Nothobranchius furzeri: one gene and its partners. The protein of the gene in region 2 purifies or fractionates together with the protein of the main gene of each other region. This does not show direct contact. Links are inferred from orthologs where the notes say so. Each region holds a gene or a part of one and is shown on either strand. Other genes may lie near its edges.

What was found.
Region 1: the proteins of hspb1 (region 2) and daxx purify together in Homo sapiens (affinity purification with western blotting; 3 studies listed by BioGRID and IntAct, with this or other methods). This does not show direct contact. The link is inferred for Nothobranchius furzeri from reciprocal best matches to the Homo sapiens genes HSPB1 and DAXX.
Region 3: the proteins of hspb1 (region 2) and transforming growth factor beta-1-induced transcript 1 protein purify together in Homo sapiens (affinity purification with western blotting; 3 studies listed by BioGRID). This does not show direct contact. The link is inferred for Nothobranchius furzeri from reciprocal best matches to the Homo sapiens genes HSPB1 and TGFB1I1.

Annotation. Positions count from the first base shown.
Region 1 is NC_091759.1:22,800,046-22,807,442, reverse strand, and holds the end of daxx (death domain-associated protein 6), read right to left. Parts: intron 6,479-7,397; 5' UTR 6,461-6,478; coding exon 6,236-6,460; intron 6,046-6,235; coding exon 5,623-6,045; intron 5,485-5,622; coding exon 5,353-5,484; intron 5,267-5,352; coding exon 5,150-5,266; intron 5,074-5,149; coding exon 4,842-5,073; intron 4,750-4,841; coding exon 4,580-4,749; intron 4,413-4,579; coding exon 4,280-4,412; intron 3,841-4,279; coding exon 3,324-3,840; intron 2,265-3,323; coding exon 2,147-2,264; intron 1,854-2,146; coding exon 1,794-1,853; 3' UTR 1,572-1,793; downstream 1-1,571. UniProt on the Homo sapiens protein: Transcription corepressor known to repress transcriptional potential of several sumoylated transcription factors. Down-regulates basal and activated transcription.
Region 2 is NC_091750.1:66,228,988-66,237,480, reverse strand, and holds hspb1 (heat shock protein beta-1), read right to left. Parts: upstream 4,466-8,493; 5' UTR 4,376-4,465; coding exon 3,994-4,375; intron 3,543-3,993; coding exon 3,479-3,542; intron 3,254-3,478; coding exon 3,103-3,253; 3' UTR 2,865-3,102; downstream 1-2,864. UniProt on the Homo sapiens protein: Small heat shock protein which functions as a molecular chaperone probably maintaining denatured proteins in a folding-competent state. Plays a role in stress resistance and actin organization.
Region 3 is NC_091756.1:34,929,610-34,938,773, forward strand, and holds the start of transforming growth factor beta-1-induced transcript 1 protein, read right to left. Parts: upstream 6,025-9,164; 5' UTR 5,893-6,024; coding exon 5,880-5,892; intron 1,914-5,879; coding exon 1,863-1,913; intron 1,661-1,862; coding exon 1,512-1,660; intron 878-1,511; coding exon 822-877; intron 1-821. UniProt on the Homo sapiens protein: Functions as a molecular adapter coordinating multiple protein-protein interactions at the focal adhesion complex and in the nucleus. Links various intracellular signaling modules to plasma membrane receptors and regulates the Wnt and TGFB signaling pathways.

The DNA of each region.
Region 1 (7,397 bases), on a different chromosome or scaffold from region 2:
GTGATGTGTCGGTCGCTAAAGAGCCGGCTCCCTGTTGGAGTAACCAGAGTGAGTGACACACACCGCACCTGCGGACTCCTGAGCCGCTAAAAACGGCTAAATGTGCGCGTGCTAAACACACGTGCAGTTTGCCCCGATTGCTGAGACCGGGTTGGGGGGTGGGGGGTGCAGCTGTGGTTGGGACAATTATTACATTAACTGATGGACGACTTGTAAATACATAGTTTATAAATAAGGTAGAAATAAGTTCCTCACGCAGATAAATAATAACTAATCTCTCTGAGGACACGGTGCTAGTGCACGCTCCTACAGCACCTTGACACGACTAAATAAATGTTACGCAACATTTTGTGAACATCAATTTATTTGCATTTATTTGTTATAAATGCCACTGTATAATTCTTGCTGTCAGTATTTGCAAGATGTTGGTATTTGGGTCTGTACTGGTTAGACTTAAATGAGTTAAACCAAGGTCTATAGCCCTTGGGTCATAGACTATGAGCTATAAGTATATTGGTCTTTTTATACTGGGAATCAGGAGTTATTTTAGTGATCATCTTGTTTCTTATTTATTTTTGTCCTGATTGTGCCCTGAGCAATTTTATGACTGAATAAAAACAAATAAAATCAACATAAATTGAAAAATCGTCCTAAATAATCGTGATCTCAATTTCAGTCACAATAATCGTGATTATTATTTTCGTCATAATCGAGCAGCCCTAATAAAAAGTTTTCCTTAAAAGAAAAAAAATCCTCGAGTTTTTTTTTACCAAAAAGCTTTTTTTTATTTCAGTATCAAAAAGAAAGTTCACAGTGAAGGACGGAGCTCTCCTCCGCAGGAGCGAGGACCGATCTCAAGAGTTTTTCACCCGTCAGGGAAAACGGGACGGGAACGCCTGAAGAGGGAGCATCCATCCGACTCGCACGCACGACTCAGCTTTATTTAAAAATACGCCAAACGACTCCGGTTTAAAAGGAAGCGTCCGTCAGCAGCGGGGAACGTGGCTGAAACCAATAAAAACGAGACACAATTACTGCTCTGAGGTTGTTTTTCTCTGCACAGGATGATAAAAATATTTATTATTACTTAGAAAATCTGATGATGGAGGTTTGGTCCGAAGCGTTTTCCTCAGCAGGCGGCTGATTAACAGCTTTAACGCTTCGTGTCCGAGTTCATCTGACACGCAAGTCTCACGTTTTAACGTAGAAATGTAAACAATGTAAACGTTTGTGCTTTAGACTTCTTAGAAAGGGTGGAAATTATTGTTCCGGCAAATAAAACGTATTCCGAGTCCGCGGCCGACTCATTTCATCACAAATCTAAAAATGAGGTCATTTTACGTGTTAAAACTGCTGCGTTTCACACGTTTCCATGGCAACACCATACTAACAGAAGAACAGCATAAATAAAAACAAACGAGGAGGAAATGAACCAGAACATTCGCTGATTCGGATCTAAAGCTGCTGCTGCTCCGTGGAAGAAAATCCCAGATCGTGTTAAAATGTGACGAGTCGTCGAGCGTCGGCGGAAACAGACGTTCAGCAGAGCGAGACGATCGACGGCTCTCGTCAGGCACCGGTTCTTATTTACAGAAACACCAGCAGAGCTGCTCGTGTCAGGAAAGTGGAGAGGCCCAACTCGTCCCCGCTGAGAGGAACCGACCCGACGGGTCCCGGATCATCAGGAATACTCCGGAGCCGAGGTACAGACGTCTGTTTCAGCCGCCGCTGAATCGCTGCTCTACGAGTCCCTCAGGGTCCACCAGGAAACGTGTCCTTGGTAAAGTCCAGTTTCACTCCGAGTCGGACAGAACAATGATCTCATCCGGGTCGCACTGAGTCGCCACGTTGACCTGGAGACGCAGAGTCAGCACAACCTTTAGAATGACCTGTGATGTCACCGTTTCATCGCTGCTGTTTAACCCTCCCACTGTCCTAAGGGGAGGTCCACGTGGCAGGGATGAGGTGGTGCTCTCTCCTCACCCCTGCCACGTGGACCCAAGGGATAAACCATCAACCGTGCTCCAAGGTCAACTTTCCTGGCGGGGTCACATCCATTAGGACAGTGGGAGGGTTAAATCCGTAAATAAATTAGGATTATTATGAAATAACAATCATTAATTATCTAATTTAACGGTTTCTGCACCTTGTTTTTCTTTGGGGGCGGGGTCAGCTGGGGGCTGCAGATCAGCTGAGAGGGTGTGGAGGCGTCCTGAGGAGAGCTGCAGCTAATGACGCCCATGTCCAGAGGGATGTCGGCGTCGCTGAGGAAGAGGAGGAAGCACGTTAATAAAGAGAGTAAAGGTGTGTGTGTGTGTGTGTGTGTGCTGGGGATAGCGTGGGCTCTCAGCTGTCTCTCCCGAGTCACGCAGCCTCGCTCTCATGCTGACATCGAATAAAACAAACGTGTTCCTCCAGCGGAAGCCTCTCCTCTGAGCAGGAGTCGGAGCGGCGGAGGCTACGGGAGTTAGTGACCAGAAACGAGGGTCAAACCTACGATCCTCTGGGACTGAACACCTCCCGCTGGCGCCGTTCCAACGCACCGATTTGGTTTTACTCAACGCAACATTCCTCAGTGATTAAAGATTCGATCGAATTCACAAAAACTTTCAATGTTGATTTCAGGAGAATTTAAGGAAAAAAGATGTTTAAAATCTTCAGGTTTAAACAAACGTGTAATCTGATTACTGTAGCTGCCCAACATCCTGCTACGTATGTACTACCACACACACACATGTGCATGTGTGTGTGTGTATGTGTGTGGGTGCTTGCATGTGCATGTATGTGTGTGTATGTGTGTGAGTAGGTGTGTGTGCGTGTGAGGGTGCATGTGTGTGTGTGTGCATGCGCATGTGTATGGATGTGTATATGCGTGTGAGGGTGCATGTGTGTGTATGTGTGTATATGTTTGTGTGTGTGTGTGTGTGTGTGCATGCGTGTGCATGTGTGTGTGTGTATGTGTGTGGGTGCATGCATGTGCATGTATGTGTGTGTGTATGTGTGTGAGTGCGTGTGTGTGCGTGTGAGGGTGCATGTGTGTGTGTGTGTGTGTGTGTATGTTTGTGAGTTTGTGTGCGTGTGTGTATGTGTGTGTGCATGTGTGTGTGTGTGGGTGCATGCACGTGCATGTGTGTGTGTGGGTGCATGCACGTGCATGTGTGTGTGTGTGTGGGTGCATGCACGTGCATGTGTGTGTGTGTGTGTGAGTGCGTGTGTGTGCATGTGAGGGTGCATGCACGTGCATGTGTGTGTGTGTGTATGTGTGTGAGTTTGTGTGTGTGTGTGTGTGTGTGTGTGTGTGTGTGTGTGAGCGCTCCACTCACCTGTCGTAACTGATTTTTAGTCTCAGGTTTCTGGGAGTCTCGGCCATGTTTTCCTCTCGTTTCCTCTTCTGGCTCCTCGTGGTTCTGGGGCTGGGGGGCGGAGACTCGCTGGTCTTCGGTGTTCCTCGCTCAGGTGAAGGATCCCCGTTAACGGCTGCTGGGACGGCCAACTTCTTATTATTCACCTGGTTTTCTTTTATGATCACCACCGACAGCTGATTCGACGCGGCGAGCTTCTTTAAGTTTGCTGTTGTCCCGTTGGACAACGTCTGCCGAGTGTCCGACTGAACGAGCTCTGATTGGCCGGGGCTGTCTCTGGGAGACGGGACGCTGGACATCTGTGTTTCCTCAGAGACGGGACTTTCGCTGGTGAGCGGCTCCATCTCAGCCCTCGGGCTTCCATCGCCGCCTGCTGGAGCACTTCCTGTCTGCTCGTACGTCTGATCCTCCTTGTCGTCCTCGCATGACTGACCTGCCTCGTTAGCATTCTCCTCCTCTTCCTCCTCCTCATCGTCATCTAAAGGAAACATCAGTAAAGTTAAGATTAAAATAAAAACAAACCAGTTTGTGCTGGTTGGACTGGAGCTTCTTACTGGTGTCAGAACTTCTAATTTTGATGATTTAATCTTTAAACCGAGCTAATCTGGATTAACGACACCGGGTCGTGACCTCTCCACGGGTCAGCAGATTATAATCTCCCGTTTGGAACTGTTATGGAAAAATTCATGTCTATTAATTCTTGATCATGGACTCAACCAACTGAATGTAAATGTATCGCTCTGTGCCTCTCTGCATGCCCACTCGTCCAGAACTCACACACACACACACACACACACACACACACACACACACACACACACACACACACATTGATAAATCCATGACAGGAACCGAGTCGAGTTTACATCAAATCTGAGAAATCTCACAAACAGTTTTAATCCCAGATTTAATCTGACCTGCGGCAGCCTGCTGAGTGCTGGCCTGGATCTCCTCCTCTATGTCAGGGTCTGATGATTCATCCTCCTCCTCGTCCTCCTCCTCCTCCTCCACGCCGTTCGCCTGACTCGTCTGTTTTCCTTCTTCTGGTTTCTGATCATGGAAGTAAAAGAAGTAGAGTCGGAGCGCAGATGTTAACTCCTGGAACTGTTTTGATGCTTCCTGTTTTATCCTCGGATAAAAAGGTATATAAAACAGCATTCCGGACCAGCAGGAAGGGAACATTCCGCCTCGCTGATGCGCCGGGATTTTTCCTTCACCTCTTTCTCTTTCCCGTTTTTCTCCAGTCTCCGGATTCTCTCCTGCTCCTCTGTGTCGTCCTGTTTCACGGCGTACTTTTTGATGACATCATCCAGACGAGACAAAGCCACTTCCCTGTTGGACCGTAGCTTCTTCAGCAGAGACAGGTCGGACAGAGCCGGGTCGTCAGCTTCCACCGGAGGAGGAGAGATGAGAGGATTAGGCACAAACATGGATGAATGAATGAAAGTATTCAGCGTGAACGCGGAGCTGGAGCCTCACCGGGCTTGTAGGCGTCGGTGAGACGCGAGCCGAAGTTGTAGACGAGGTCGAGGTGTCTCCGCTCCTGCAGGAGGCTGCCCGTGTCCCTGAAGGCCTCCTGGGCGATCTGACTCACCTGTTTCCGGTTCAAACACAGGTTGTGGCGCTCGTTGACGCGCACCACCAGCTGCCGGATGTCGTGATAATCCGGAGGGTTGCTACGAGCCTCGGGACTGTTGATGAAGCGCTCGATCTGACAGGAAGCAGGAACACATCCTACGTAAACGCTAATCCACCCGCTGGAATGACACCGAAAGAGAAGAACTCACCTTCCGGTTGATCTCAGGGAAGCGAGTCGTGTTGAACTTGATCTTCTGCTCGATCACTCGCCCCGTCAGCGTGTTGCAGCCCTTCAGCTCACACAGCTTCTCGTAAATCTTCATCATCTGGAAACAGACGTTAAAAAAAAAAAAGTCACCCGTCGTCCCACCGGAGATGCAACGTTCCGGGTTTAATCTGCCGCTCAGCCGACCTTCCGCTTGAGTTTGTGCTCCTGGATGTACGTGGAGTCTTCCGTCTCCATGTCGTCTAAAGTCAGCTCGGCCTGCTGCAGCCGGCTGATCTCATCGTTGTACGACTTCAGCAGGTTCTCCAGGTGTGCGATCTGGAAATCAGAGCGAGTAAAACCATAAGGGGGGGGGGTTCTGCTGAAAGGAAATCAGCTTTTCGGCTCATTTTACTGCAAATAAGTGAGAAAAAGTTCAAACAAGCAGGATTAAAGCCTTCAGAGATAAACACTCACCTGTTTCCTTAACGCTCTCTTAGCCTTCCGCTGCGCTTCTTCACTCTCCTCCTTGACCTCCTGACCTCCTGACGTCGAGGCTCGTTCTGCGGCTGGTTTCCCCTCCTCCTCCTCCTCCACTTTAGTTTTACTCTGGAGTGAATCGGGAGCAGACCGGGTGGCACCCGACGTCGATGCAGAAGGCTCCGCCTGGCTGAGGGCCGGCCTCTTCTTGACGCTGTGCTGCTTGAGCACGGTGCACAGTTCATTAATGTAGACGAATGTTTTGGAGCTGTTGGCCTGAGCGCGGGTCAGACATCGTCCCAGCGTGTTCCTGAACTCCACGGAGGACAGGAACTCAGCGCTGGCCTTGGCGTGCTTGGTCTGGAGGAAGGTTAAGACCTCTGGGCAGTCCTTAGTGAGAGACGTGCAGTGCTCCAAAAACTGGAGAAAAGGCAGAAAGGAACCTGATGAAGCGTTTGGTGAATCTGGTTTTGTTAGAGAATAAAACTATATACATATATATATATATATATACATATATATATATATATATATATATATATATATATATATATATACATATATATATATATATATATATATATATATATATATATATATATAAACTCACCACACTGAACAGCTTCTGGTTCTCTGCCTGCAGAGCGTTTACGCTCTTCCTGTTGGAAGCAAAAGGAGAGTGGACGATGTGTGTGGGAGCCTGCTGCTGACGGCGGGCTGGAGAGACGTTACTGGTTTGTCGCTTGGAGGAGGAGGAGGTGGCAGAGGAACACGCAGGTTCATCATCTTCAAGCACAATGATCTGATCTGCCAATGAGGCAGGAGCCACCGCCATCCCAAGTTCAGCTTGTTTCTGTTTATAAAACCCAAACGAGATGAAGGAGATCAGCAGAGCGGCGAGTTTATCATCGATAACGGTTAGGAAGTGACAGAGTTCTCTGTAAACCTCTAGAGTTGTATGGAGGTCGTTTGTTAATATCTCTGGTGATTTAAACCCTTTTAGCATATTTAAGAGAACGTGTGACGTTTCGGCTGTTTATATTCAACGCTGGTCCGCTTCCTTGCTTGGTGCAGCTCTCTTTAGGGTGCAAAACAAAAGTGTAGTTCTGAGACCCGATGAAGGAGGTGGCCTCAAAAGGTTGCAGCTTTGAGGCCCACACCCTCCTGTTATCAGACTTGCATTGCATTCTGGGATGTGAGTGAAAACGTAAACAACAACAACAGCTGCAGCATCTCACAACAAGCCACATATAGAGGATCTACTTCACTCGTGTTGATCAGAAGACTGGATTTGTCAGCTCTGACTCAGAAAATGTTCAAATTATTTATAAACAGATAAATAAAATATATTTATGTAATTGTGTAAATAAGGTTTGCTGAAGGTTTTTTGGTTTATAAACAGACTTCAGACTAAAGAGCAGATAAAACATCTCAGAACTTTTACAAGGTTTTTAATTCAGTAAAATAACGATTATTTGTTGTCGTCTTCCTCCGCTTATCCGGGTCGCGAGGGCAGCATCCCAACTAGGGAGCTCCAGACCGTCCTCTCTCCAGCCGCCTCCACCAGCTCCTCTGGCAGGACCCCAAGGCGTTCCCGGACCAGATTAGAGATGTAAACTCTCCAACGTGTCCTGGGTCGACCCGGGGGTCTCCTGCCAGCAGGACGTGCCTGAAACACCTCCCCAGGGAGGCGTCCAGGAGACATCCTGACCAGATGCCCAAGCCACCTCAGCTGGCTCCTTTCGATCCGGAGGAGCAGCGGTTCTACTCCG
Region 2 (8,493 bases):
GATATGAGTTTGAAATAAAAATGCAACAACTTGATCAACCTGGTAAGCAAATTGTAGCGTTTCATTCCAGCGTTAGCACACTGGTAGAGATGTGGTTTTACTGCATCTTAATGGAAGGACTTGGTGAAGAGGAGGGAACTGCTGTTGCCATGGAGACGGAGAACACAGCAGCAGGCTGGAAGATCATGGAGCCTGTGGAGGAAAACCCTCTGAGGAATTCAGCGAAGGTTTGTGGCAAACAGGCTGAAAACGAAGGCCGACAGTGTGTGAAACATTAACAGTGTGCAGCTTTTTCTTCAGTTAAACAAAAAATCACATTAAAAAAGACTTTTGAGTCTTTAATATATCTGTTTAATCAAGGTTTATGTGGAACAGTTTATCCCTCTGAACCCTACCACATTAATCTAATAATGCTGCTGGGGACATCAGACATATCAGTAAATAACCCCGCCCCCAGAGAAGGGAGGCACTAATTGGGAGCAGCAAGTGAGCACTAATCAGGGAAAGGGCAATTTGCAATGAGCTGCAGCGGAGGAGACGAACGCTTTCTACATCTCTGAGGACCTAGATGTAAAAAGGTTGCACTTGTAGTGCATCCAAGGGTAAAATCTGACATGTGGGTCCTTTTGGATAAAAACTGATTTCAGCTCATTTGTAAAGGATTTCTGACATCTTGAAACAATCAGAGACCCTTTGGTCTACTTTTTTTTCTAAGCAGATTATTAAACATTAAAGGGATACATTTTCATATTTGTAAATGACAACTGCTAAAATGACCCTTCACAGAGTTAATGAAATGTCACTCAGACCCCCAAGAATATCGCACTTGCAACTTCAGACTGGCAGAAAAATTTAGCTGACACGCCTGGTGCTGCGGTCTGCTAACAGCATGTTTTAGATCATGAGCACAGCTGATTTGTTTAATTTAGTGATGAACCGCTCCTGTAGACACTAATAAAGGCAGGTGAGACGTTTCAGCTGTTAAATAAAGGTGTTAAAAAGACAACTACAACGAGGAGAGGTTTTGCTTTCGATTTGACCACAGATAATGAATAATGGACACTAGGGGGTGCTAAAGGCAAGCCAAAACTGACAAGTGTGCCTTTACATCTGATCAATCTAGACAAGGCCTATTCAATTCCGAGCTTCGAGGGCTGGTATCCAGCATGTTTGAGTGGTTTCTCTGGTCCAACAGACTTGATTCAGTGGTTGAATCACCTGTGCAGCCGCTCATCAGGCTCTGCAGAAGCCTGTTAATCACTTATTAAAATCAGGTGTGTTAAAGCAGAATTAAAACCAAAACGTGCTGGAAACCGGCCCTCAAGCCCCAAATTGGATAGCCCTGATCTGGATAAATACATAATAGTTGAGAACTCATTTAGCAGTGACACTGAAACCACATGTCCCAGAATGCACTGGGGCCCTCAGCTGCTGCATGTGAGGTCTCCAGGAAGGACTGAAACCAGTTTAGTTACCAGTAGGTCTGTAAAACATGCACAAAGGTGTGTTTTAAACATTTCCTAATCCACAATTTTTGTGCGTGACACTGGTGGGAAATGGATCTTCTGCTGCTTTTTAGATTCCCAGATTCATCCACAAAACTCCAACAGGTGCTATTACTACCTTCTCAACCTTTTGAAATAATCATAGTTTGTGTTTTCCTTTGTTTTTTGTTTTTTTTTTAAACGGATGACCAGAACCCAGTTTTGTAAAACTATTCTGTTTGTTAAATTTGCCTGACGTGAGCCGGCTAGAGACCATAAGAGCCAGATATGTGAGCAGGTAACAGACCAGCATGCACTGGGGCGGGTCTGGTGTGATACATCAATAAACCACTTTCAGACTTCTGTTGCCTTTATGCACATGAATATTTATGTCCTTGAATAGAAAATGAATCACCATGGTGACACGTAATCAGTGTTTTCTCAGTTTGAGTGACTTTAACGTTTTTTGCTAGTGAACGCCTCCCCGCTCATGAGATCAGCAGACCAGGACCCAGCTGCTCTTCACATGAAGCACTTTTCTAGCTTTGGTTCCTGGATTGATGGGGTTGGCATGAATAATTCAGGCCTGCATTAAAGTGGAGGGAAACTGTGACTCATGGAGGAGGAAACGCTGAGTGTCCTTGTCCAGAGTCAGTAGCATTCAGGAACTGTGTGCTTATAACGTAATGGTCAGCTAATAGACATCTGCTTTGGCTGCCAGAGTTAAATCTGAAATCAATCCAACTATAGCTGACCTATTAGTCACTACAGGCCAAAAGCCGTGGAAGAACATTCCGCCGGTTTGTCTGCCGGCTCCCTGTGACCACACAGCACGCTGGAAGCTCAGGACATGGTGTCTATATATATAGATTTCCCCCTGCAGCTTTGGGGTCAGGAGCAGAGTTGGTCTGTGTATTTCCGGACAGACGTGCAACACGAAAGCCTGAAGGATGATGCTATGGAAGGAGAGAAAGAAGTGATGGAAACAGGTTCCATCCTACAGATGATCAGCTGGTGCAGAACAACATGAAAATAACCAGCATGGCTGGCTTCTTTCCGGCAGCTGAGCATCATTGACTGTTGTCAGTTCAGTTTAAGCCACGCCCACTTTACATGCACTAATGGGACGTTTAGTAAAATCCAATTGATCATTTGACTGAGTTCATTTATTTAGTTGTTAGCTGGCTGCATGTTATTTTATTAGATTTTGCTTAAAAAGCAAACAACAATTATGTGCAGGTAAGTAAACAGGACTTTCGTGATGCGCTTTTTGCATGGATGACCAAAAGATATAATTTAGCCACATAAATTCATTCTCAGACGTAGCTCAACTACACAGACCCATGTTGGTGTCACATCATGAAAAAAAAGACAAAAGAATATTTTTTGTTAATTTTATTTCCAAAAGCAGCTCAGTGACAAACAGGTACCTGAGGACACACGATTTTAATAATGACCACTGAGAAGCAACATCAACATTTACTTCAAATGAAAAAGCTAATTAAAAAGTAATAAAAAAAACCACAACAAGATTCATCTCCTCGAAGACGTTTGTGGATTAAAACAAAAAGCATGCATGCGTGTGCGTTGATGGCATCAGGGTGTATAGCGCTGCTATCTACTTCTGGGTCACGGCGGGTTTCTTCTCCACGGTGACGGGGATCGTGGTTTCGGTCGACTCGATGGCCATCAGAGGAGCCTCCACGGTCAGAATCCCCTCAGGGGAGAGAGAGGAGGTCACCTTCTCGAAAGTAGCGGTAGGAGGGAGGCTGGAGGAGGGGGGAGGAGACAGTGTTACACATTGTTGTAGTAGCAGAGGTGTGGCCACTAGGTGGCAGCAGACTTGTGGAGTTGAATAAACCAGATATGACTGACTAGGTGGCTGATAAGGCATTTCAGAACTCCAAACTTCAGCTTCAGATATACAGAATACATTTGACTGCATGCATTTTGCACAAACCTGCAGATTTTGAAAAAATAAAATAAAAGCTTACGTGTATTTCCTGGTGAAGCTCCTAGAAATGAAGCCGTGTTCATCCTTCCTCTCCTCGTGCTTTCCTGTGGAAACAACAGAAATTATTAAAAAAATAATTAATAAACAGCTAGTGATGTCATTCATCTCTTGTGCCATTCCGTGAGACTGAATCACACGCTTTGTTTATCTCTGTGCTCAGACCAGGTCCAGTCAACTGGACCGGATCCAGCAGTCCTTTTAAAGCTGCAGACACTGGGGAGTCACAGCAAACTGGAAGAACTGGGATCACGAGGGCGAGTCCGAGAGGGAGGAGGCCTCACATGCCACCAGTAAAAATGTAAACAAAAAGTAAAACTAAGCTGCTTCACAGGTATCTGTTGGCTTCTAGCCAGAATCCCACTCCCACCCATGTGAGGAAGAGGGGGAGGGGTCCTTTTCATCTGGAGACAATGACCTCAGTTAACCTGGATCCTGAATAAAAGATCCTGAATGTTTGCAGGTTACTTAAACACCTAGAGAAGAGAGAAAACTCACCAGAGATCTCCACAACACCATCCTTCATCTTCACCACCAGCTCCTCAGGTGAGAAGTGGTTGACGTCAAGGGACACCTTCCAGCTGTCCTGCGTCTGCTTGATCTCTGACACGCCACTGCCCATCTGCCTGGACAGGGCACGAGCCTGCTGGGCCAACATCTGTCCCGGGTACATGTGGCTGTGGGGCATCATGATGTCAGTGCCCAGGATGGAGGGCCTCAGGTAGCCGGGCCAGCGGGAGCTGGGGAACGTGGGAAAGTCCTCCAGCAGGGCCGGCATGCCGAAGATCTGGTCAAAGATCCGGCTGCTGTGGTGCCAGTCCCGGAGCGGATCCCAGCTGGGAGTGCGGGCCAGGGTGAAGGGAATATTTCTCTCAGCCATGCTTGCTGTGGTCGGGCAGAAGAAGTCTTCTCAAGTCTTTCAGAAAATGTTCTTCCAAGTTGATGCCTGACTCACATGCTGCAGAGCTTTTATACACGCTGGTCCCACCCCCCTAACGCCCTGCCCCCAGACCCACAAGCCCCCAACATGCCTACGGAAAGATCTAGAATCTATTTGTGTCTGTTGCAGCACGTGGAGGGCGGGTCTTGGTAACAGCTGCCCAGTGCAAACGTAAGAGCTCCCACCCCCACCCCTCCCATTCTGATCAGATCTGACTAGAAGCAACTGGAGGAAACCTGAAGAGCCGATGTGATCACAACATGCTGGGATACGATGCAAAAAGTAACACATAATACTCACCTGGGTTAACCCTCTGGAGGCAGGCATTGCAGGTTTGCAACAGTTACCTACCTGGTTACTCCACATATGTGTTTCATGAGCATTGTTTAACTCAGAGGTCGTCCTTCTATCAAAACTCATTTTGACCCAAACTGGGTTAAAAACTCCCAAGTTTCTTAGTGGATGACAGGAAACTGTTTAGTTTCATCAAAGTAGGAAAAAGTGAGCTAAAAACCAGACATGAAAACATCATTTTGGTTGCATTCGTTTCTCAGGGTCGTGGTTTTGCTCTAGTTTTAATACAGATGCACATTTACACACACAACGGTCTAGAAAGATGCGTCCAATAGAAAACATTTAGCAGAGTGTTGTAGAAACACCTGGAAGATGGGTTTAGGGTAAGCAAAGGGAGCATTTACACGTACGTGTTAGATCCTGCCTGGGAGACACTTTCAACTGTGAATCAATTCAACCCCTTCTTTTCGGGCTATCTACGCCAAAATACTAACTGTATTTTGATATCAAACTGGATTAAAAACATAGAAGACGTTCATTTTAGACCAAATGCATCTCAGTTTTAAACAAAATGCTGCTGGGTGTTGTCTTTGAGCAACCCTCTGGAGGCAGGCGTTGCAGATTTGCAACACTACTAAAACCTACCTACCTGGTTACTCCACATACACGTTTCATAAGCATTTTTAACTCAGAAGTATTCAGATATTTAGCTGGAAAAAAAAGAAAGAAAAACCAACAATTCCACCATTTTTCAACATGAGATGATTTTGTTTGAACATCTAGAATGAAAATGATCTAACTAATATAAACCCTTTCATGCATAAAGTTCAAAAACTTCTGAAAAGATTTTTAAAGAAAAACAAATGTTAACGTTCAAAATTTACATTTTTTAAAGAGCCACACATTTTCTTACATTATTATTATAGTATGTTATTAATGAAAACACTAGAGTCTAATGTGGTTGTATAAATAAAAGTTTACCATCAACATTCATATAAGCAAAAAACAGCTTTTAAATGGTGAAAATGAAGTTTTTTTTAAATCAGTAAACAAGGTTGTTTTTGCAGGAAAGACAGTAACAATTTAAATTGGAGCCAGTTTTTCTGTTTTGCATTAAAGGCCCTTTCTGGGAACGACCTCCAGGTGGTCAAACGGGCAATGCAGGAATTCATTTTCAAATGCAAACAACCGGAGCTTTCAGGTGGATGATCCACTCTGCATCTGAGAGACGCCAAACAGCAGGCAGCAGGGAAACTTCCATGCATGGATTAGGGTGAAAGGTCATTTGAGGATAAAGGGTCTGCAGGAAGGAAGGAAGGGGGGAGGGGTTGCTGCAAAGAACCTTTTTCTAGAAGATTCTTAAGCACAGTGCAGTGTTTTCCACGTGGTTCATTTTTGAACAGTTTTGTCACTTCCTGTTCAGAAAAGAGATATTTGAAAAACTTGCTTTTCAACGGTTTGAGGAAAATGCAAAGATGTTTATCTACTTTGATTAAATACATCCCAAATCAGCCTGAGAGGAAGTAAATGTGCTTTTATCCACATGGTAGTAGAATTAGACCATGATGCAAAGTTTCAGCTCCTTATCTGTAAAATTCACTGGTTTTTAAACGTTTTTGCTACTGTTGAGTTTCCCCAGTTCAATATAGAAGTATAGGAAATTGTTTAAGACTCTTATTTAAAATTTGTCCAGTTTCTATTTCACAAAGCTCTTGTCTGATCTGTTCACCCTTTAGTTCTGTGGCGCCAGATGGAGATCCATGCAGCAGATTTGACTGCGTTTGAGTCATTTTGTTGTGTACTGGCTGTGGCGGCCATATTTAGTCTGGTTAATCATACGAACGTGAATTCTGTAGGTTTCATTAAAATCCCTGTAGTCGTTTATGATAGTTTTCTAACAGACAAAAAAAATCAGATCAGTTGTAGAGGAGTCCCTAAAAAACAAGAATGCAGATTGGAGGTTGTTCTCTGCATTCTTGTTTTTTAGGGTGTGATTATGTGGGGTGCCATTTGTAAAGTCAAACAGTTTATAAACTTAACAGCAATATTTTGGATTATTTAGCCCATCAAAAAAACGGGAGTTCATTTACAAAAGTCACATTTTCACCATGTTATTCATACATTTATAAATGCTAAAGTTCTCAGCTAAATATCTTATTTACTAACCAAATATTTGATTTGGAGCTACATATTAAGTTTACAAATTAAATATTTAGCTCCAAATGATTTTTTTTTTCCAAAAAATTTTTAGGTCCCAGCTAAATATTTATTTTTGACTAAATTTAAATATTGATTTAGCAAATAAAAGTAGCTGGAATCTAAATATATATTTTTGAAGTTTAACATTTAAATATTTTTCAAATTAAATATTTAGTTAGTTAAGTAAATATCTAGTTTACAAGCAAAATTTTTAGGTCTGACCTAAATATTTAGCCTGTAAAATAAATATTTATCTCTAAATTAAATACTTAGCTCATGGTGGGCAAAATAACCCAGAATACTGCTATTAAATTATGACCTTTTGATGATGCGCAAACCTGCTTTGACTGGTTTTGTTTACCTGCTGGAAGACCAGAAACTTTTCTGAGTGGTCAGCAGGAGATTCGTTATCTTATTCATTATTCATGGAGGTCGACGTAAACTTGCGAGATCTGACTTCATTAACACCAAAATACACTGTTGTTCAGATCTGGTCTCTGTTGTCACCTGATTTAATTAGTGATAAACCAAACTTTTAAAATCTGAACAAAAATGTTCAGCAAAGTCCAGTCTAGAGTCTAATAAAATCTAATCCCAGCTGTAATCTAAAGTGTAATCTGATATATTTTCATGATCAAAGGCAGTAAATTTGTTGGGTTTAAGGCTGAGAGATCCTGAACTCCCCCACTGAAACTCCGGTGGATAAAGGGACACTATTGTCTCACCCTCCTCTTCCTCAGACTGGTTTAAACTGGTCTGAACCTGGCTGGCCCAGTAAAAAAACAAAAACTCATGGGGGTGTGACTCCTCCCCTGATAAGTCTGATGGTGTTGAAGCTCTCACTGGTTCAGAGGATGATTGAATTAATTTGTTTTCAACTAATCAATAACATCTCAGTCTGCTAATCTGGTCCTGATCCTGTTTAATGGAACTTGGTTCCTGTTTCCGTTTAGTAATCGTTCAAGAGGTCCATGCCTGCGTCCGTAGTGAGGCTTGGGGGCCATTTGTGGCCCTCTGAGTGTTTTTTTTTTTTTTTTTTTTGAGAGAAGCTCATTTTTACCCCGGGCAGCTGAGGCAGTAGATGATTCACTAATGCATACACGATTAAACTAATAACAATAATAACACTTTTGTCTTTTATAGATCAACATTTCTTCCAAATCACTGTTGCTGTTTCAGACCTAACCAATCAAGACGCAACATCCGATCCATTCCTCAGTCTCGCTCCTGAAGATCACAAAGAAATGTTTATCAGACCAAGAAGACAGAAACTATTAAATCCAGTAAACAAACTGATTTAAATCCATTGTGTCGTGGTTTGCAGCAGTGATCTGGCAACAGATCGGCCATGTTAGGGAGGGAGGAAAGTGGGAGTTAAAAGTTTCTATTTCACAAATAACGAGACTTTTATGAAAAGTGTTTAGCTCTGTTTATGTGATTAGTCGTTTAAATCTTCTGACAAAAATGCTCACTAAAACTTTGTGAATCATGAAAATATATCCTTGCAAACATCAGAAAACTGTGGAAATTCCTTTATTGAAACTATGTTAGGGTTTTATTTATTA
Region 3 (9,164 bases), on a different chromosome or scaffold from region 2:
ATATTGCAAGCTTGTGTGTTATGTGCATTACAGCCAGCGATCCAAACAGATGGGTGAATGACTGATTGTGTTGTAAAGCGCCTTGGGGGGTTCCAGGACTCTAGAAGGCGTTATATCAAATACAGGCCATTTACCATCACGCTCCGCTATAGACGGATGTCAACTCATCCACTCCTCACTCAGTCATCGATTCATCTACTCCATGCCACAAGTTCAGAGCTTCATCGCTCATCAACCTTTCAGTCATCTGACCAGTAAGACAGCTTCTTACTCTTCTTGTAACGCCTGTACATTCGTGTTTCCCTTTAAGAAACGAACCAGCGTTCCTGTCTCTCTCAGTTCATTCCAAGATCAAACCTGACACTATCTGCGGACCATCACACTGCCACCGCCATGTTTGACTGTTGACGTGATGGGTTTTTTTTCCCTAAAAGACAGAATTAGTTTTTCTCCAGATGTCATGTGACAAAGACCTTCCAGAATTGTCTACTTTGGTCTCATGAGTCCACAAAATATTTTCTCAAACATCTTTGATACGACTTAAATGTGAGATAAAAGCAAAGCAAAGATGTGAAATGCAGAGCATTATACCTTGAAAGTTCCTAAACAGTTACGGTATTTCAAGATGGCGCATGACGATGGAGTGTCTACCACAGTTTATGTATATTATAAATGTATAATTTCAGGCTAATAGAAATATTTAGATGAGATGCTGGTGAGAAATATGAAGGAAAACGGACAAGTTTGTGAACAGGATACACAGAATGTAATGGTAAACAAGTAAAAATATTACAGACTGTGGCTTTAACAACATATTTTACCTGTATAGTTTGTCTGGATGGGAGTTCTGTGAGGACTTCATAGCAGCAGAAACAGTCTGAGGTAGAAAAACAGATTATGGTATAGTACTGATAAAACTTAGAAACCTAAGGCCTAGTCCACACGTAGCCGGGTTTTTTTTTAAACGAATATCCGCCCCTCCAAAAACTTGCATCCACACCACTTCGTTTAAAACAAAAACTCTGTCCACACGTACCCGGATAAATACGTTGTTAAGAACATGCTAGACCTGTAGGCGGCAGTACTTCCCCCGTTCTTAACCTCGTCCTTCGTCTGTGGTCTTCCACAAGGAGCAGTAATTCCGCTTGCAAAAACAAACAAGCAAAAAGCGCTTGGACAATTGATAAAGCAAGCGCAGCTCTGAGGGCATCCATGCTGTCGGCTAGTGTAAACACAGGTCGCACACGTGATGTCAGCATTTTTTTGTCACGGAAAGTGACGTTGCGGACCTTAAAACTCCGGTTTTGTCTGTCCACACGCAGACACCCAAAACGGAGAAAACGCAGATCTTCACTTTGGCCAGAGTTTTAAAAAAGATCAGTTTTCGTGTGAAAAAACTCCGTTTTCGTGTGGATGACAGGCCAAAACGTAGAAAAATATCTACGTTTTGGCAGATCCCCGGCTACGTGTGGACAGGGCCTAAGTCAGCTCATGCATCCCAGAGCATCTACCTGCTGTGGTGTATAGGCTGGAGGTGGTGGTCGAGCCTGAGCCGGGTCCTGGGAGGGGGCATCAGCATTTTGTGGAGGGTCAGAGGTCAACAAGACAGGACACTGTGGTAGAGGAGAGCTGGTGTTCTCCAGATCAGCAAGAAGGGCATCTGAAAGAAGGAAAGTGTTTAAACCGCAGTTTAGTTTGATTTGTGATTGGATTTAAAGATAACTAACCATTAGATATTGATTTTCTACATTTATAGTCACTAACAAGGACATTTATTCAAAAAACCATCTAAACGTCTGGGTGAAGCACAGGAACCAGTGAATCAGAAGCAGGGACGATGGAACATGCATCCAGTTACGTACCAAACACAACAATACGAGGACTGAGAGGGTAGTTAGGTGGCTCAGGCACACCTGAGGAGAGACAGACAGCCTGTGTGACAAATACAGCTGCAGAAAGTCAGCCCAGACACTGCAGATGACATGAAAAACAACAAGACATTATTCAGCCAGAAAGGAGAGCGGGCAGGAATCCAACTACATGCATTCATCTCTGCTTTTATATCCACTACATGGCAGAGCGTGGAGGAAACAGAGGAGGAAGAGTGTTTGGAAACTGATATCCAAACTCACTCCACCAGCCGCCCCCACACTCATTCAGAGGACCAGGAACTCAAGTGTTAGTCTCTGCAGCTGGGTGACATCTATTAGCTCTGACTCCACATGCAGCCGAGAGACAAAGCAGAGTGGGTGAACCCAAAAGCCTTTTATTTTTTGGGATCAAGAACACGATCTTATCTCATTATCACAGACACACGGTAGAGGTGGTATTGTGGTTTGTGGATCAAAGAAACTTTCCTTCTTTGACTGAAGGATAATAGATCAGGAAATGCTCAAGCAGCATCTTCTGAATTGTTTTTGAAAAAAGTGGGAAAGTGTTCATGCTGCATGCAGGACAACAACAACGAGAGCACAGAAGATTCCAGCAAATCAAACGATTCGTCAAAGTGCTGAGCTTCAGCCAGCAAAACGGTCGTTAAAAGACATTAAATAATTATTTTATGCAAAGAAAACCCAGAGGTGAACTGTTTTTTTAATGATGAGCAACATGAATGTGTGATTACATAAACTGTTATACAATACTTTAAAAACAAAAATGTAATACCACAGGTCCGTTTTAAGCAGATGTTCCAAAAAAATTCTAAGCCAGATAAGATATTTTAAATTAATGTTCAGAATTAGACTAAATAATTATTATTTCTGCACCTTTAAAAGTCTAGATTACATCTCCATCACATGTATTAGTTATGCAGCCACAGATTTTTCTTTCCAATGTGACCTACATTTAAAGGGATCCCAGGCATGTCGTTTGTAAAAAGACTTTCGTCAGCAGAAGGGACGAGCTTGTCTAAAGTCTGCAGGCGTCCACGTTTATTTGGTGCCTTTCTGTTTTCTTCAGATGAAGTAAAACATTTATACGTGAATTTGTTCTACGGCACTTCTGCCGAGCCAAATAAAACAACCGTCTGACAGACCACAGGAGAACAATCGTTAGGAAGTTGTCAATAGTAGTCAGGTAAAGGTGAAATAAGAAAAGTCCTTTGAAGATTGTAACAACTTTTATAAGGTGTTTCACGCCCTTGTACGTTAAATAAATGAGACTACACTGCAGAGCTTTACGTTTCTACATCTGGTTTTAACACCAAACCAATCACTTCATCTGAGTTTTTTTTCATCTACAGCTGTCTAATTTTAAATGAAAACAAAGAAGAGACCAAATTTACACCTTGAAAACGGCAGGAACAACATCTCATTTGAAATAATTGATCTGATGACCGCACATCGATCCTTTGCTGTGAGACGGAACAGCAGATATTTACATTTCAGTTTCTCTCCTCAAGCTTGGGCCTGAAAACTGCACTCCCGATTCTTTTTCAAAGCCCTGCTTCTCTGATTCGGTCTGATGTTATGAAGTAACTTTAACCAACCACACTTTCTCTCCTGTGGAGATGGTTTTCTAATTCATGTCAAGAGACGGAACTGAATCCAAGCAGTCTTCCACGAGCTCTGCGGTCATCTCTTCTCCTGATGATTCACACTTGTGGTACGACCCTGTGTTGAGAGTCTACAACGGCATGCCCTCCTGTCTGCTGTGTCTCCGTGTCTTAAACACACACACACACACACACACACACACACACACACACACACACACACACACACACACACACACACACACACACACACGGACTGCACATATAAGGAGCTGAACGTCTCTTAATAGCAATCATGACCATATTTAGAGCTGCCTGCTAAATTGTTTGTCTTGGCCAAAAGAGCCTCTCTAACAAGTGGCCTCGCTCACTGAAAAGCTTCAAACTTTCTGCTCAACAACAGCACAAATCTATGGGGCACTGACTGTAAAAGCAATACGTTAAAAAATGAACAGTAATAGTTCTCAAAATGCATCTTCAAATTCAAAGTTCAATCTGAATAGTCAGAATAAGATCTGAATAAGTAGAATTTAATCTAAATATTTTACGTTTAATTCAGAATCAAATGTTATTGTATGAATCTAAATAAAAATTTTGAAAACTACATTTTAATTTGTGGGTTTTCACCTTTATATAAACTAACATGCAAATTCAGACAAGTAACAAAACAAGTTAACCTGAAAACAAACAACAACAACAACAAAAACAAGGTGTGGCGACCCTAGCCTCCTTTAGAAAACAATGCCGTCAATTAGCCGCAACGCCATGCTGGCATCAAGGAGCCTTCCGTCATTTATAAGTGGTCTGACTGTGGTGGTAATGTGGCACAATTGTGTCCTTTTTACAACACATAAAGTGATGGCGGTATAAAGGGGGTATGGGGCGGTCTCTGTGCTGCCACGGACTTCAGTTTATCTTGGACATAACTTACTTTTGATTGCGACTGAAGCCATGATCCTTACATTTTTTTACCAAGCCACTCCCAAGAAAGGCTGTCCTCCACAGTCCCTGTGCAGTCTCTGGTGAGTTGAGCTCTAGCTTTAACGGAGAGAAGCTCCTGGAGCTCCACATCACTCCAGTTTATCAACTCAGCTGATTCTGTTTACAAGAGCAAAACTTAGGGCCAGAGCTCGGCAGTAACTCCCCACCTGATCATGACACCTCTAAGGCGTAATATGCATTCACAAGTCCTGCGTTCTGGTAATATTACTACCAAACGTGGTGGCATAACGCCATGCTGCCACCGCGCATTCATACGACACACCGTGGCGGCAATAATACGCTGATTTGTGTTACTTCTAAAAGGGTTAAACTGTTAAACAGATCGTTAAACTGTGTGGGTCTATTTCTCAGTTTCCATGGGAAACTCATACAGGAACATTGACAAATAATTCATGGGTTTATGAATTCAGTCTAATCACAGCATGACATCTTTTCACCCGCTCTTATTTTGGTACATTTTCGTCTGAACTTACATACTGGCCTATTAATCCTTAAAAACGACTACTTTTATAACTTTTTTCATTTCAACCTGCAGCTTTAAACGTTTACTCCTAAATAAACATTTTAAATTTATGTTGCAGGCTGAAATATTAATTATTAACATAATTCATAATTAAGAGGATTTTTACTTTTAACTTGGACCCCATACAACCCAGTCACCAAACTCCTTGCTATTCAATCCAGATGTGCCCAGATGTGGTCGGCCAAATCTTGCCATTTGTCCTTGTATTCCTTTCTGTTCTGAACTGGACTTTATAAATATGAAAAGAGAGAAAATGACTGGGCAGCAGAGTAAAAAGTCTTCCATTTTCCTTGAACTCTGTGGTTTTTCTCAAATAGCAGCGTTTGCTTTGGGCTATTTCAGGGCCTTTCTAACACGGCCACGGTAACACAGAAAGATTCAGCTTCTCGTTTTTTCCCTTTTCTGTATTAATTAGAGGAAAAATCCATACTGACAATAAACAGTATGTATCTAGGAATTGTTTTTGATGAAGATAATTAATTTGCAACGCGTTGGATTTGCAGGCTGTGCGTGAATAAAACTCAGTGGTGGTCAGTCAGATGTACAGTAATAAATGTGTGTGCGTGTGTGTGTGTGTGTGTGTGTGTGTGTGTGGGGGGGGGGGGGGCGTCCAATTTCTGCACAAATAACAATAAAACCCCAAACAAGCAGGCTGATGGATCTGCATGCTGTGTGAACTCCTGTTATTGAATGAAACTACTCTTTATTCCTGATTTTCCTTTGTGCTGATCTCTGAGGAACAACCGGGAGCAACAGAGCCCGTTTCCTCCTGTTGGGGCGCACCGCCCCTTCCCACTGATCCCTTCAGATATCCCGACATGTCGTCCCGCAGATGGAGCGAAGAACAGATGTTTTACTCACCCAGATCCTCCATGATGGGATCACAGCAGACGGATTTCCTCTCTCGGACCTGAAGAGGAAAGCATCAATGAGCGCTGGGGTCCGGGCGGACAGACAGACAGGCTTTCGTCGGCGTCGCTCCTCAATAACTTCTTGGACACCGTTATCCGCCAAGACGAGGGGGAGGAGGAGGAGGAGGTTTCTTTTTCCCAACTCTCTTCCTGTGTAATGCCTACCAGGACTTCAGACCGGAGAGGGCGTAGTTATGTGGTTACAACCCCGCATCCCCCCCTGACGCACGACGTCACGGTGGACATTCCTGCTCCATATTTGGGAGAGAAAATTAAGGATTCGGAGGATGTGAGTTCAGCAGAGAGACCGCTGCTGCAGCGATGATGGATTAGTGGAGTTGAGCAAGTATTAAAACATTTAGAGTCCTTCACGGGACGGTCCAGAGGGAGGCGGATTTAAGAGACATAGGGCTTGGGATCACGTGATGATGCGTTGCATTCTGGATAACAAGAGGATAACTTTTATTTTAAATCTGTTACGTTTGAGTATTATTCTCAATATAAACAGTGAGGGCTGAGATAAAAAAAATCAAATATTGATAGATTTTACTAAACTAGAGAATTATTTAATGGGTGAGACCAGGTGTGTACCACAGGGTGGGTGTTTAGGACGGTGTACACTCACCATTCTTCATTAGTACTGGTTGGGACCCTATTTTGCCCCAGAAATCTCAATTCTTTAACTCATGGATCCAACAAGGAGTTGGCAACATTAGTCAGAGGTTCTGGTGGTTCAGACTGACGTGACATCATCACACAGCCACATCCATATGAGAATCCACCACATCCCAAAGATTCTGGACTGGACTGAGATCTGGTGACTGTGGAGGTCTTTGAAGTTCAGGGAACTCATCGCTGTAGAAATCAGGAGAGATGATCTGAGGTTTGTGACACAGAGAATTGTCCTGCTGAAAGTAGCATCAGAAGATGGGTCCATGTGGTCACAAAGGGGTGGACATGGGCAGCAACAATACTCAGGTAGGCTGTGGGGTTTAAACTAGGCTCAGGTGTCTCACACACACACACACTGCAGGAGCGTTAAATGAGCTGTGAGGCTAGGCATATGAAGTAAACAGGGGTATTCCAAATCCGGCACATTTTAATTTCAACCCTGCTTCAACACACCTGATTTAAATCAGCAGATGATTGGCAGGCTTCTGCAGAGCCTGATGAGCTGCTGCACAGGTGTTTCGACCACCGAATGAAGTGTGCTGGAGCAGAGAAACCACTGAAACAAGCTGGATACTGGCCCTCCAGGTCCAGAATTGAATACCTCTGAAATACACCAAAATAACTCTCAAAGTTATGTGATGCAGATTTAATGCCCTTGGGCTGAAAAAAAAATGAGTCGATGGAATTTGATACCAATCCTAAATTTAGTGACACGTGTTGGCGGGTTAAGATGAATATTTAGCCAAAGTTGCTTTACCTGTTCCAAACACATCTCTGTACAAATTAATTACTGGATTTAATATGCAGGGGAAAAGACCAAGGTTACAGTATCCAACTCTGCAGTTGACCAACAGGAGGTCTGTTATCCACAATTTAGGACTTGAGTTTGTTGGCGCAAAGAAATAGATGTTTGTATGTCAAGAGATTCCCTAATTCAGGCAAGTTTGGATCTTGAGATGGTGCGTTCATGACCTCAACCAGTAAATTAAATGTGTGCTACAAATCTGAATAGCGCAAGGCGAGACACAGCACAATACTGTTTTGTTTAGGACACCTTTAGTAAATACTCTGTATCAGTTAAGCAAGAGTAATTTATTTAGCTGCAGTATTATACCTAAAACTCTATTTTCAGGAGCAATATATATATATATATGTATGTATGTATGTATACACACACACACACACACACACACACACACACAAGATGGTTTCAGTAATTTTAGCAGAAAATGTGTGTCCCTGTTGTGGTCCAAAGACATTGTTCTGCAGACATGGTTGGACATGGTTATTTGCTGCTGTTATGTTTCTGTAATCTAGAGCCAGCTTGTCCTGACCTCTTACTTCAGATATCAACAATATATTGCCTTCCACCCAACTCAACCCTTCTCTGTTACCATAGAGATGGATATTTGTACAAATCCTATCATAAAGTAACTTACATTCGATTTCCTCTTCATTCTGGTGCATCAGACATCTGAATGGAGCATGTACTGTGAGTTGTACGTAGCTCTAACAAGTATAGCGCCCCCTAGTGGCATGACGAGGATTCAAGTCTGTAAACAGATGGGGATGTCATTCTCTCAACAAATACATTTCCTTTAGGTTCTTCTAGATCAGTTCTCAACGTGGGGTCCGTGACCCCCTGATGGGGACCCACATGGGGTTGTTAGGTTAGATTGTATTTGTAAAAATTACATATATGAAATCCAATGACACCCCCAATAATGTGTTTAAAAATCTGTATAACAGCTACAACTCTGTGTGTGTAAAGTTTGTAATGAATCTTTTTAACTGTGGGTAGGAGCTGGGGGTCCTGGCTCGTCTTGGACAGGAAATGGGTTCCTCATGAAAAAAGGTTGGGAACCACCGTTCTAATGTTGACTCCTGAATATTCAATGCGGTTCCTATCTTGCTGCTTCGTGTTCAAATAGTATGTTTTCCCCTTAGCTGTAATTATTTATTGGATGCTTATAAAACACCATTGTTATGTTTATGCAGAACTTTCATTCCCTCATCCTTAAAACGACATGGCAGCACCTGTAAACAGGAGTTTATGGCTTCACTTTTCATCTGCTGAATAATTCAGAATCACTCAGGCTGACTTAGAAACAGCTGAAAACTTCTTATGAATAAAAAAACCACCATTTGCAGAAGAGACTCTTGGAAATAAACAAATGATCACGAACGCTTTAAAAGAAGGCTACTGGACATCTCTGATCTCGAAGATGTTTCGTCTCTCATCCAAAAAGATTCAGTGCTGAAACATGGGTTAGAAGTATCAGGACCAGAGAGGGAGGAAGCCACAAAGCCACCTCAAATGTTCAAAGTTGGATTTCATCTCTCACAAAGCAGCCTTGATTCGTCTTCCCCCTCCACAGAAACTCACACCTAGACACTCATGTGACCACGACGTTTGAATTGTCAGTGTTAAAAACACAAACAGGAATAAAGGTTAGGCCCAGAGACTCGTCTCACCTCGGTATCTCAGTGGGATTTAATTTCTGATTTCAACTTCAAAGGCTGATACCTCAGCTCCTGTTTCAGCACTGGACAAGCATTTTGG